Drosophila melanogaster: one gene and its partner. The protein of the gene in region 1 binds, or shares a complex with, the protein of each later gene. Each region holds a gene or a part of one and is shown in the gene's direction. Other genes may lie near its edges.

Evidence for each region.
Region 2: Sf3b3 (region 1) and Sf3b6 share a complex: the UniProt entries of both Drosophila melanogaster proteins name them as parts of the splicing factor SF3B complex.

The regions. Positions count from the first base shown.
Region 1 is NT_037436.4:827,307-835,543, reverse strand, and holds the start of Sf3b3 (splicing factor 3b subunit 3), read left to right. Parts: upstream 1-2,158; 5' UTR 2,159-2,284; intron 2,285-2,334; exon of another isoform or gene 2,335-2,482; intron 2,483-2,568; 5' UTR 2,569-2,603; coding exon 2,604-2,829; intron 2,830-2,904; exon of another isoform or gene 2,905-3,057; intron 3,058-3,136; coding exon 3,137-3,502; intron 3,503-3,535; exon of another isoform or gene 3,536-3,674; intron 3,675-3,753; coding exon 3,754-4,228; intron 4,229-4,301; coding exon 4,302-4,636; intron 4,637-4,815; coding exon of another isoform or gene 4,816-4,823; exon of another isoform or gene 4,824-4,922; intron 4,923-5,032; exon of another isoform or gene 5,033-5,107; intron 5,108-5,202; coding exon 5,203-5,510; intron 5,511-5,551; exon of another isoform or gene 5,552-5,692; coding exon 5,693-7,666; 3' UTR 7,667-7,667; intron 7,668-7,700; exon of another isoform or gene 7,701-7,780; intron 7,781-7,846; 3' UTR 7,847-7,898; intron 7,899-7,923; exon of another isoform or gene 7,924-8,007; intron 8,008-8,074; 3' UTR 8,075-8,121; intron 8,122-8,160; exon of another isoform or gene 8,161-8,232; intron 8,233-8,237. Other genes in the region: CG42553 (uncharacterized protein), read right to left, coding at 80-157, 214-765, 826-1,152, 1,209-1,367. UniProt on the Drosophila melanogaster protein: Involved in pre-mRNA splicing as a component of the splicing factor SF3B complex, a constituent of the spliceosome. SF3B complex is required for 'A' complex assembly formed by the stable binding of U2 snRNP to the branchpoint sequence (BPS) in pre-mRNA.
Region 2 is NT_037436.4:6,191,521-6,195,141, reverse strand, and holds Sf3b6 (splicing factor 3b subunit 6), read left to right. Parts: upstream 1-1,962; 5' UTR 1,963-2,159; coding exon 2,160-2,177; intron 2,178-2,247; coding exon 2,248-2,366; intron 2,367-2,432; coding exon 2,433-2,661; 3' UTR 2,662-3,018; downstream 3,019-3,621. Other genes in the region: Tnpo (transportin), read right to left, coding at 1-169, 253-924, 992-1,090; CG7386 (uncharacterized protein), read right to left, coding at 3,282-3,621. UniProt on the Drosophila melanogaster protein: Involved in pre-mRNA splicing as a component of the splicing factor SF3B complex. SF3B complex is required for 'A' complex assembly formed by the stable binding of U2 snRNP to the branchpoint sequence (BPS) in pre-mRNA.

The DNA.
Region 1 (8,237 bases):
TATAACAACTTTGTGTAGAGCAGTTTTTGAAAAAAAATCACATAAAATTTATTTGAATAGCCTTAACGCTTATTGGTTTTTAAAGCGGTCTTCCTGTTGCCTGCTTACCTTCGGTAAGTGCAACTGAAGCGTGTACAAAAACAGGCACATTGATACCCTGTAAAGCACAGACATTAAAGACAGGACAAAATCACATTTTCCATTCATGCATACCTGCATCTTAGCTGATCTCACAAAGGCCTTATTCGAAGTCACAGTGAAAATTTGCCTGGCCATGCCGAAACTAAAGATTTTCAGACTTCGCTCGTTTACGTTGGCAGTGAAACGTATGTGGGAGAATTCTTCGGGTATTGTTTCCACATCCGGATAAACGGTGACCCGTTTCATCAGTTCCTCGGCTCGCTTCCGTTCGCCCTCGCCGCCTACAATATCCAAAATACTCTGGAAGGCATCGTAGGCTAACTGGCAGCAGACCAAGGTTTTTCCCTCTAGGATTTTCTCGAGGAGCGGTTTTAGCGGCGAGGCTCTTTCCCTTTCCGCCTGTTCGGTGAGCAGAGGTTCCTTGTAGACCCAATTGGCGGATCCGTTGGTGAGCGCACTAACGTAGGCCAGCAATGTGGTCACATCTAGATTCAGTTCGTTCGACGTCGTGGCGTACATATCCAAGTCGGTGTCTGGTGAGTCCAGGGAAGCAGTTTGTACGCCCATTTCCATTAGCTCTTCATGCAGGGAGTCCTCGATTTTGTTGGAGAAGTAGAATACTATCTAAAAGGCAGTATATCAGATGATGAATGCTGTCTAGGGTAGCATACTATTAGGCATTACCTTCGGCCTCTGGAACATGCAGAAACTAAGTTCGCTGGCCTCCAGATAATCCTCCGCCTGGTCGATGACACTTCGGGCTCCGATGCTGACACATCCCCTGGCCGCGTCCTCGACGGACTTCGAGTTCCTGGCTATCACCTTCACCCACTTGAGTCCATTGTTGGCCACGATGTCGACTCTCAGGGGACTATCCCTAGACTCCAGGCGGAATACGGCATTGATGTCGACTACTCCTTGTTGCAAACGCAGAGTTTTAATGAGAAAATCGTAGTAAACAAAGTTACTGCTGGTTATGTGGTGTTCCTTTACGGACCTTGTAGTAATCACCTTGAAGGAAAATGCTTTTACTCAATGTTTTTATCATGAAAAATAGGCAAACAAACCTTATTTAGAAATTTGAGCTCTTGCTGAATTTTTCGCTGTACTTTGCTGACACCAGGCAAATCTTCGAAGTCTTTCAGCGCTTTCTTCAGCTCCTCGCCCAGTTTTACTTTCTTGTGGGCTTCTTCGTAGAGCTTTTCTCGATCCTCTTGCTCCTCCATATTAAAACGTTAGCAATATTTACAAAAATCACGAAATATTTGTTTTTAGCTGTCAGCTGTTTTGAAGAAGCAAAGATGCAATGACATTTCAGGTTTTACAACACTGACAATTCCATGACTGATTAGAGATGTCGCGAATCTGAAGTTGGTATATCGATAGTCAACAAACCTAGTTTACTAAGTAATAATTGATGATTTTTCTAATTAGTCTAATAACATGAGCCAACGCCGCGTAAAAATATACTCAAGTAGAGATCGAATAAACAGAAAAAAATAGTTGGGGACTGATCTATTTATTTTTTTTAAATACCTTTAAAGTTTTCTCCTTAATCATACCTTAATAGCATAGTATTGAGCCCAGCCCTTTAGCCACAATTCGGTGAGTGGTTTTGTTTTCATTTAAGCCCATGATAAAAATTTTTTAAGTTAAAGAAAGATAAAACGATTGATCCAGTACATATTTTTACAGATCCTTGAAATTTTCCATTTTTTCACAGAAAATTGCATATTATATGTTTAGCTTTTGAGGCAGTTTTTGGTATGTGGAACTGGGATTGGCCCATGGCAATTTCCGAATATTTAAATGTGGTATATTTAATAAAGGATAAATTCGATATATCTTGACCAGGATTTTTAGGAAACTTATGATTTCTGCAGCAACAATTTCCAGTAAAATAATTATTTAATTTATAATCAGTCTGAACCGGGCCTATTATCGATAGGAAAATCGACGGCCGCGCACTATCGATAAGTCAAGCCACATTTTATGCACCACCATTTTTACTTTTATAGTTCTTTTACTTTTTGTCGGCGAACAGAGCAGATGTGAAAATGAAGAGTTCTGAGTAATCAGGAAAATTCGAATCCAAAGGCATCGCTGGTGAAATGTGCTAATTCATCCATTTAACCAGCCGAAGGTAAACAAATACACGTGCTAGCACTGATATCTACTATTATTTAAGCGCTTTCCGCACGAAGTATCTCCAGAAATCAGAAATGTCTGTGCTTTGGTCGCATTTGAAGCGTGCTAAACTAAGAATTAAATGCTGCTTACTAGCATCGTTAGGCGACACGACTTTCCATACTGTGGCCATGGTTTTCAAAGTAGTACAAATTCACAAAAAAAAAAATACACCGCCATTCACGTGACTTTTTCCCTTGTCTGCAACTGTACCTAACCTCAACATTGCTTCTCTTGCAGTCGTGGACAAAAGTGAAAGAGTGTAGTGCTCCACCATGTATCTGTACAACCTGACCCTGCAGAAGGCCACCGGCGTGACCCACGCGGTCCACGGCAACTTCTCCGGCGGCAAGCAGCAGGAGGTCCTCCTGTCGCGTGGCAAGTCGCTGGAGCTACTGCGTCCGGACTCCAACACCGGCAAGGTGCACACCCTGCTCTCCACGGAGATATTCGGATGCGTTCGCGCCCTGATGGCCTTTCGACTGACGGGCGGCACTAAAGGTGAGTCTTTCAATTGTAATTTAGTTTTGTACCATCAATTGGGAGTAATGTATTGCTCCTATATAATCTATGTAAGTCGCACAAATCCCTATTGAGGCAACAGACGGCTAGTTGACCCCAGTAAGACCTTTGAACGCGTCTAAGTGCGAGAGAAACCGAAAGACTTGACGTCGCATTTGCCATAAACCAACTCAACGGAGTGGCGAATTGAAACTTCGAGTTACAAAGTCAATAAAATATCATTATAGTCATTAGAAAGTGTTAAATGTATGACCCTAATCTCGAATATCGTTACCTTGCTTTGCAGATTACATAGTTGTGGGCTCGGACTCGGGACGCATCGTGATCCTCGAGTACAATCCCTCCAAGAATGCTCTTGAAAAAGTGCACCAGGAGACGTTCGGAAAGTCGGGATGTCGCAGGATTGTGCCTGGGCAATACTTTGCCATCGATCCTAAAGGAAGAGCCGTGATGATTGGCGCCGTGGAGAAGCAAAAGCTGGCCTACATCATGAACCGGGACACGCAGGCTCGCCTCACGATCTCATCGCCCCTGGAGGCCCACAAATCGAATACACTGACATACCACATGGTCGGCGTGGATGTGGGCTTCGATAATCCCATGTTCGCCTGCCTAGAGATCGACTACGAAGAGGCCGACATGGATCCATCGGGTAAGCATCAACTAGGTGGCGTGTAGACCCTAGAAGGCGCTTTAATTCACAGGTTTAGTGGATCCACACCACGAACACTGACTGTACTTAGTGCCAGATAAATCGTGATCACTGAACCATTGGTGTTGCTGTAATTGCCTAGCCACACTTCACTGATTTGTGACCCACACTTCCTAATCTCAATTGATAACATTTTGATAGTACAATGCTATAGTCCTGTAACTAATCAGTGTCGCATCTATTTGTTCCAGGTGACGCCGCCCAGCGCACTCAGCAAACGCTGACTTTCTACGAGTTGGATCTCGGCTTAAACCACGTGGTTCGCAAATACTCGGAGCCCTTGGAAGAGCACGCCAATTTCTTGGTATCCGTGCCTGGGGGCAACGATGGTCCTTCGGGCGTGCTGATCTGCTCGGAGAACTACCTAACGTACAAGAATCTCGGCGATCAGCACGATATCCGCTGTCCCATTCCGCGCAGGAGAAACGATCTGGATGATCCCGAACGTGGTATGATCTTCATCTGCTCGGCCACACATCGCACCAAGAGCATGTACTTCTTCCTGCTGCAGACCGAGCAGGGAGACATCTTTAAGATCACCCTGGAAACGGACGATGATGTGGTCTCCGAGATCAAGCTAAAGTACTTCGATACAGTGCCGCCGGCAACTGCCATGTGCGTGCTAAAGACGGGTTTCCTGTTCGTGGCCAGCGAGTTTGGCAACCAGTGAGTATCTACAAATCATTCATTTGAGAATAATATGAATGGGTACTAATTGAGGTATTTGTGTAACCCTCAGCTATCTATATCAAATCGCTCATCTGGGTGACGACGATGACGAGCCGGAGTTCAGTTCGGCCATGCCTTTGGAGGAGGGTGAAACCTTCTTCTTTGCGCCACGTGCCCTAAAGAACCTGGTGCTTGTGGATGAACTGCCCTCTTTCGCACCGATCATCACCTCCCAGGTGGCTGATCTGGCCAACGAGGACACACCGCAACTGTACGTTCTTTGCGGACGAGGACCGCGTTCCACTCTGCGGGTGCTGCGCCACGGCCTCGAGGTGTCCGAGATGGCCGTTTCCGAACTGCCTGGTAATCCCAATGCGGTTTGGACTGTGAAGAAACGAGCTGATGGTGAGTGTGTCTGCGGGCATTAATCATGATTCCTAAGCTAAGATTAGACTAAGACTGAAACGTGGCTAATAACTCAACTGGTGCATTGATACAGATCGAGATATAGATTACACCTAGCTTTACGCACGATTCCAAACAAGTCCCACAAGTTATCAACCACCAGTTCTCTCTTATTTCAGGCGCTTAAACACAGACGGCAATATGTGTGAACTATCGAAAAAGACAAGCGATTAAAGAGAATTTCTCTCGTTTGTGTAATTTTAAATTGTCTTTTGTGAAGCGATAGGTAAGGCAACATTTACTGCAGCTCATAAGTCAAACAGATACTACAACTACCACTGCTACTATACCAATGAAAACAGAACAAAAGCTAACTATATTTAAGCCAGTCGGACATTGAACATGATGCGATATTTATCAACCGTGTTTCAGCTGAATTATCCATTGATTACAACTTGATAAACTGATTATTCAATGTCTTGTGTGATACGCAGATCTTTTTCGCTTGCTCGATTCAAACTGAAGTACTCACGTTCCAAGTATTGTTTTGCTCCCCTATTTTTTAGACGAGTTTGATGCCTATATCATCGTGTCCTTCGTGAATGCCACCCTGGTTTTGAGCATTGGCGAAACCGTCGAGGAAGTCACGGACAGCGGTTTCCTGGGCACCACGCCCACGCTCTGTTGTGCCGCCCTGGGCGATGATGCGCTGGTTCAGGTTTACCCCGATGGCATTCGACATATCCGATCCGACAAGCGTGTGAACGAGTGGAAGGCTCCGGGCAAGAAGTCCATTACCAAGTGCGCCGTGAATCAGCGCCAGGTGGTCATCACCTTGTCGGGCAGGGAGTTGGTCTACTTCGAAATGGATCCGGTAAGCAATTCTACTACTATATTACACTCAACTGTTGACTTCTTGCTCTGATGACAAAAACACGAAAAGAACAATCATGTTGAGACACTATGTGTCCTGCAGTGCTGAGCTTCAAAATCAACCAAAAGCCTTATCCTCGTTTACTTAACTTCACAACTAATGAATACATTTTATGCTTGCAGACTGGGGAGCTGAACGAGTACACGGAACGTTCCGAGATGCCTGCTGAGATTATGTGCATGGCCTTGGGAACTGTTCCGGAGGGCGAGCAGAGATCCTGGTTCTTGGCCGTCGGCCTGGCGGATAATACAGTGCGCATCTTATCGCTGGATCCCAACAACTGTCTCACTCCCTGCTCCATGCAGGCCCTGCCTTCGCCAGCCGAATCCCTTTGCCTGGTCGAAATGGGTCACACGGAGAGCACGACTCAGGGAGGTTTGGATGACGATGCTCCCGCTCAGCGCAGTGGCAACAATAAGGGAACCATTTACCTAAACATTGGCTTGAGCAACGGTGTCCTGCTGAGAACTGTGCTCGATCCTGTTTCCGGAGATTTGGCAGACACCCGAACGAGATATTTGGGTTCCCGACCCGTAAAGCTCTTCCGGATCAAGATGCAGGGATCCGAAGCGGTGCTGGCCATGTCCAGTCGAACCTGGCTGTCGTACTACCACCAAAATCGATTCCATTTGACGCCTCTGTCTTATGAAACCCTTGAGTATGCTTCTGGCTTCTCGAGCGAGCAGTGCAGCGAAGGTATCGTGGCTATATCCACCAACACCTTGAGGATCTTGGCCCTGGAGAAACTGGGAGCCGTCTTCAATCAAGTAGCGTTCCCCTTGCAGTACACTCCACGTACCTTTGTAATCCATCCGGATACGGGACGCATGCTAATTGCCGAAACCGATCACAACGCCTACACAGAGGATACGAAGAGTGCCCGAAAGGAGCAAATGGCGGAGGAGATGCGCAGTGCAGCTGGCGATGAGGAAAGGGAGTTGGCCCGCGAAATGGCCAATGCTTTCATCAACGAAGTCCTTCCCGAGGACGTGTTTTCGTCGCCCAAAGCAGGACTGGGTCTTTGGGCCTCGCAAATCCGTTGCCTGGACGCAATGCATGGTCAGACGATGTTTAGTGTGCCGCTCACCCAAAACGAGGCCATTATGTCGATGGCCATGCTGAAGTTCTCCATAGCGGCTGATGGCCGGTACTACCTGGCCGTGGGAATCGCCAAGGATCTGCAGCTGAATCCCAGGATTTCGCAAGGCGGCTGCATAGATATCTACAAAATAGATCCCACTTGCTCCAGTCTGGAATTCATGCACCGCACGGACATTGACGAGATTCCTGGAGCCCTGTGTGGCTTCCAGGGTCGTCTACTAGCTGGCTGCGGTCGAATGTTGCGAATCTACGATTTCGGCAAGAAGAAAATGCTGCGCAAATGCGAGAACAAGCACATTCCCTATCAGATTGTCAATATCCAAGCCATGGGTCATCGTGTTTACGTGTCGGATGTTCAGGAATCAGTATTTTTCATACGCTATCGTCGCGCGGAGAACCAGCTGATTATATTTGCCGATGACACGCATCCTCGATGGGTGACGGCCACCACCTTGCTGGACTATGATACCATAGCCATAGCCGATAAGTTTGGCAACCTGAGCATTCAGCGATTGCCCCACTCCGTAACGGACGATGTGGACGAGGATCCAACGGGCACCAAGTCTCTGTGGGATCGTGGCCTGCTGTCAGGTGCTTCACAGAAGTCGGAGAACATTTGCTCCTTCCATGTGGGCGAGATAATCATGTCGCTGCAGAAGGCAACGCTAATTCCTGGAGGATCGGAAGCCCTTATATACGCCACGCTAAGTGGCACTGTTGGAGCATTTGTTCCGTTCACCAGTCGCGAGGACTACGACTTCTTCCAACATCTGGAGATGCACATGCGCAATGAGAATCCTCCACTCTGTGGACGCGACCATCTCAGCTACAGGAGCTCGTATTATCCGGTCAAAAACGTACTCGACGGCGATCTCTGCGAGCAGTATCTGTCCATTGAGGCAGCCAAGCAGAAGAGCATAGCTGGCGACATGTTCCGCACTCCCAATCAGATCTGCAAGAAACTGGAGGATATTCGCACGCGATACGCCTTCTAAGGTGAGTTGGAATCGATATGCCTATGGGACATAGGTTTTTGTGATGACATAGCTATTTTACCTTGGGACACCTATGAAATGCCTTGATTAGCGTAAACGTCAATATCTGATAAATACTTTGCTGAATTTAGTCTTTTATGATTATTGAACAGAAAGCTAACAATTGTTTATATTTTGCAGATGCCAGCAAAGGAACACTTCAATATCATGGAAACTTTTCTTTTTTAACTAGGTAAGTTGGTTTCTATTTATAGTTGTTTTCAATGATGATTTTCGAGTTTTACCTTGGGACACCTATGAAATGCCTTGATTAGTGTAAAGTTATGTTTTTCTGATAACAAATTCAAGCGTTTATTGATTGAAAAGCAAAGAAATGTTATTAATTTTGTATTTCTCTTTCTATTGCAGTTTTCGTGGGCAAAACCAACAAACGCTGCACCTAAAACGTTTTAAAGGTAAGAAATTGTAACGATTAAGCCACATTTTCGTTGAGTTAAACAATGATGTTATTTTACATATGTTAGACTAATGAAATGATTTGATTGTAAATTAGTAACTGAGAATGTTTTTA
Region 2 (3,621 bases), 5.4 Mb from region 1:
TTATGTCGACCTCTGAGTACCGCATGCCTCGTACAAGAACTGGCGCTAATTGAGCAAGATAAGGGGCAAGCACGTCCTTGCAGATGCTTTGCTCGGCCAGTGAAAGCCAGAACTCGGATGCTTCCAGGGCCACACCCTCATCGGTGTCCTGGGTGCGCAACAGCATGTACTAAAATTCGTTAAATAAGATATTTAAACAAAAATTTATCAGAATAATTATTATTAATTATATATTTTATTTTAAAGTTATACCTCAATAATCTGCGACATGTGCGGCATCAGACGGTCCATTCGCACCTCCAGCAGCATGACCAATCCGTGGCACACGTTTTTGCGCACCTCGTGGTCCTCATCTGATGACAGGTGAAAGAGGTTCTCAATGAAGCTGTCTATGTTTAGCATCAGAGCCTGTGATCTGTTGATGATGAACTGGTTGATGCAGGCAATGGCGTGGGAGCGGATCTTTGGACTGCTGTGCTTGAAGTACTCCAGGAACTTTGGAATCATTATGTTTAATGGCCTGTTGAGCGCTGCGGAATCCAAAATCTCGGCAGAGTCCTCGCAAATTTTCTGCAGGGCACTGAATGCGCCTTCGCACACATTATAGTCCTGGTTGTCGAGCATTTCGCAGAGAGATGGAAGCAGCTGCGGCCAGTTGTGCAGACCGCCATTGCTGGCGATGGTGGTAATCAGGATGCCCACGGTGGCACGGATCAGGGGCGAAGCGTCGCCCACTGCCTGCAGGCACTCGTGTTTGATATACTCCACGATCTCCGGCTGCAGAGTGGTGCCGTGCATGCGGATGTTGTTCTTGAGGATTAGGCCGCTGAGTGATCTCGTGGGCTCGTCCTCTGTCTTCAGTTTCGTCAGCACATAGATAAGATAGTTGTTGAAGTCGGGGTAGCGATTGAATTCCTCCAGTTTCTGTTGAGAAGGACACAATATGTGCATGCAGTTCGAGGAACCGTACCTGGTAGAAGTTATTACTCACCATCTGTACGGCCATTTGAGTGGCTGTGTCCGGTGACTGCGACTCCTTGAGGATCGCTATGATCTGCTGCAGACCTTCTCCCTGTGGTTCCCACGTCATTTTGCTGCTGCAAGGGAAGATCGCAAGGGTTTTAGGTTTGATTAGTGAATTCGGAATTAGAAATTAGGGTTAATGGCCTCGCAAAGGGTAGCAAATGGGGGAGAAAGAGAGAGCACGAGAGACACTCTGTTCGAGGCCACTCACGCACACCAGGGCATTTTGCACCCACACCCGCAAACAGACATCTGCTGTTGTGAAATTTACGTTTTCCGTTCGATGTTTCCTTGGCACTTAATGGTTTTACGGCGGAAGGCGGGAGTTGAAAGCCCTGCCCCGAGAGTAACGTGCGATTTTCTGCCCACAACCCCAGACAAAAAAAAACACACGAATAGAACTCGCCTGCCTCCGCCATATTTCGTGACATCGGGCGTGCGGTTGAAAACGCTTTTCCGAGATAAGTTCTGCGTTGTCCGCATACCCCCTACTTACCTTTGGGTGTTGGCTGTGCTTTAAAACTATTTTAGTTGGAATTTTCTTAAGATTTTGCGTAAATTGTCTCTTTTTTCACCTTTTCTTTGCACAATTAGCGAGATGTATACAGTGTGACCGTGCAAGAGAGAGGGAGTATGCTATTTTTTATTAGAGATGGCAACGTGTCGTCACGGGTTTTAAAATTATATTTAATGTAGTTGATTTTTTAATTTATTGTGCTTAATTTAATATTTTTAAGCAGCTTAAAATGTTTGAATCACTCTGATATATAATTTCCGAACAACAAATTATTTTATTGCCAAAATGAAAAAAAATGAATATTAAATCAAATTTTGCAGTCCAAAGCTGCTCCGATGTAACGAACTTCCTCTCACATATGTATCTAAGTGCTGCTGCACGGTCACACTCGATACGGCTCTCGAAATGCGTCCACACTCTCGCCATTTAGAGTGCCCACATTCGCCACCCTGTTCAATTTTGTTTGGGTTTGAGGCCAGACAGAGGAGTCATTAATTTTAAACAAAGGACCACGCTTCAGGACATTCATCCCGGGTCAGACAAAGCCGCCACACACTTTCCTCGAGGCCGAGTGAAAGTTTCTCGCCTTGTCGCCGCTTAACATCCGAAGCGACCGGACATGAACAAGCGCAACCATGTGAGCAGAAAACCTACGGCTCCACACACAAAGCAAATGTATTGAGTGAAAAGTGCTATTTCTTTTGCAGATCCGCCTGCCGCCAGAGGTGAATCGGCTATTGTACGTGCGGAACCTGCCGTACAAAATCACCTCGGACGAGATGTACGACATATTCGGCAAATTTGGAGCCATTCGACAGATACGCGTGTAAGATTGAAGATGATAATGCTATTCGCCGTGAATCCTCTCAATCAATTTGTGTATCTTTTGCAGAGGCAACACTCCGGAAACGCGTGGCACCGCCTTTGTCGTCTACGAGGACATTTTCGATGCCAAGAACGCCTGTGACCATTTATCGGGTTTTAATGTGTGCAATCGCTATCTGGTGGTGCTCTACTACCAATCCAACAAGGCCTTCAAGCGCGTGGACATGGACAAGAAACAGGAGGAACTGAACAACATTAAGGCCAAGTACAATCTGAAGACGCCTGAAGCTCCTTAGAACCCACACTTGGTGCGGCAGGCGGTGATGGGGCATAGCCAGACATTGGGCCCCACCAGATGACGCCCCCACTTCCATCGACCATTTTCCATTGTTTAGGGAACTTCTTGCTCTGCTTATGTGTATACCAAATTTTTGCTATCTACTTGTAGATTTTTTTGATCGCATTTTGTATCATTTGAATCTAATCATTATCATCCATCCATCACTCCATCTATCATATAAACGGCCGGATATCGCGGAACGCAGACATTTGCGCCCGGTTCCGACTGTTTGCAATCATTTGACGACATTAAGACACTCTCTCATCAAAATAACAAGCAAGTGAAAGTAAAAATAAAAAAAAATTGAAAAACTAGAATCGTTTGTTTCGATTTATGACCAATTTTTTTTAAAACTAGTTTTAGTCCAAAACCATTTGTAGTTATTCTAAAGTGTGTCATTTGGGTCAAGTTTATTTAACAACTTAGAAATAGGATAACAAGTAATAGTTAAATATTAACCAACAATAAAAATTCCCACTATTATGGGAAGTCTTTTGCCCTATGTAATCGTAAACTATTCTGCGATTAGGGTTCCTCCTTAAGGTCAGGACCAGTTTGGCTAGCTGCCGCTGCCTATTACTTTTCGTATGTGTCTTGCTGCTTCTCCAGTGCCAGTTGGTTCTTCAAATCCTTGAGCTCCTTCTTGGCGACCTTCGCAATTTCCTGCCGTAGTGCCTCAACCTTTTGTTTACGGTCATTTCTCTCCCCCAGAGGCTTCGCCGGCTTTTCGTCATGGACTTTTTGGTGTCGGATGAGCGCCGCTACCTGGCGAAAGCGATTGCCACACGTCTTACACTCGAAGGGCTTTTCGCCAGTGTGTATCCACTCGTGTTGCTTCACGGATTGCGAGTTGGCAAAGCGACGGGAGCAGAAACGGCACTCAAAGTCCTTGACTTTTTCGTGGACGCTCTTGTAG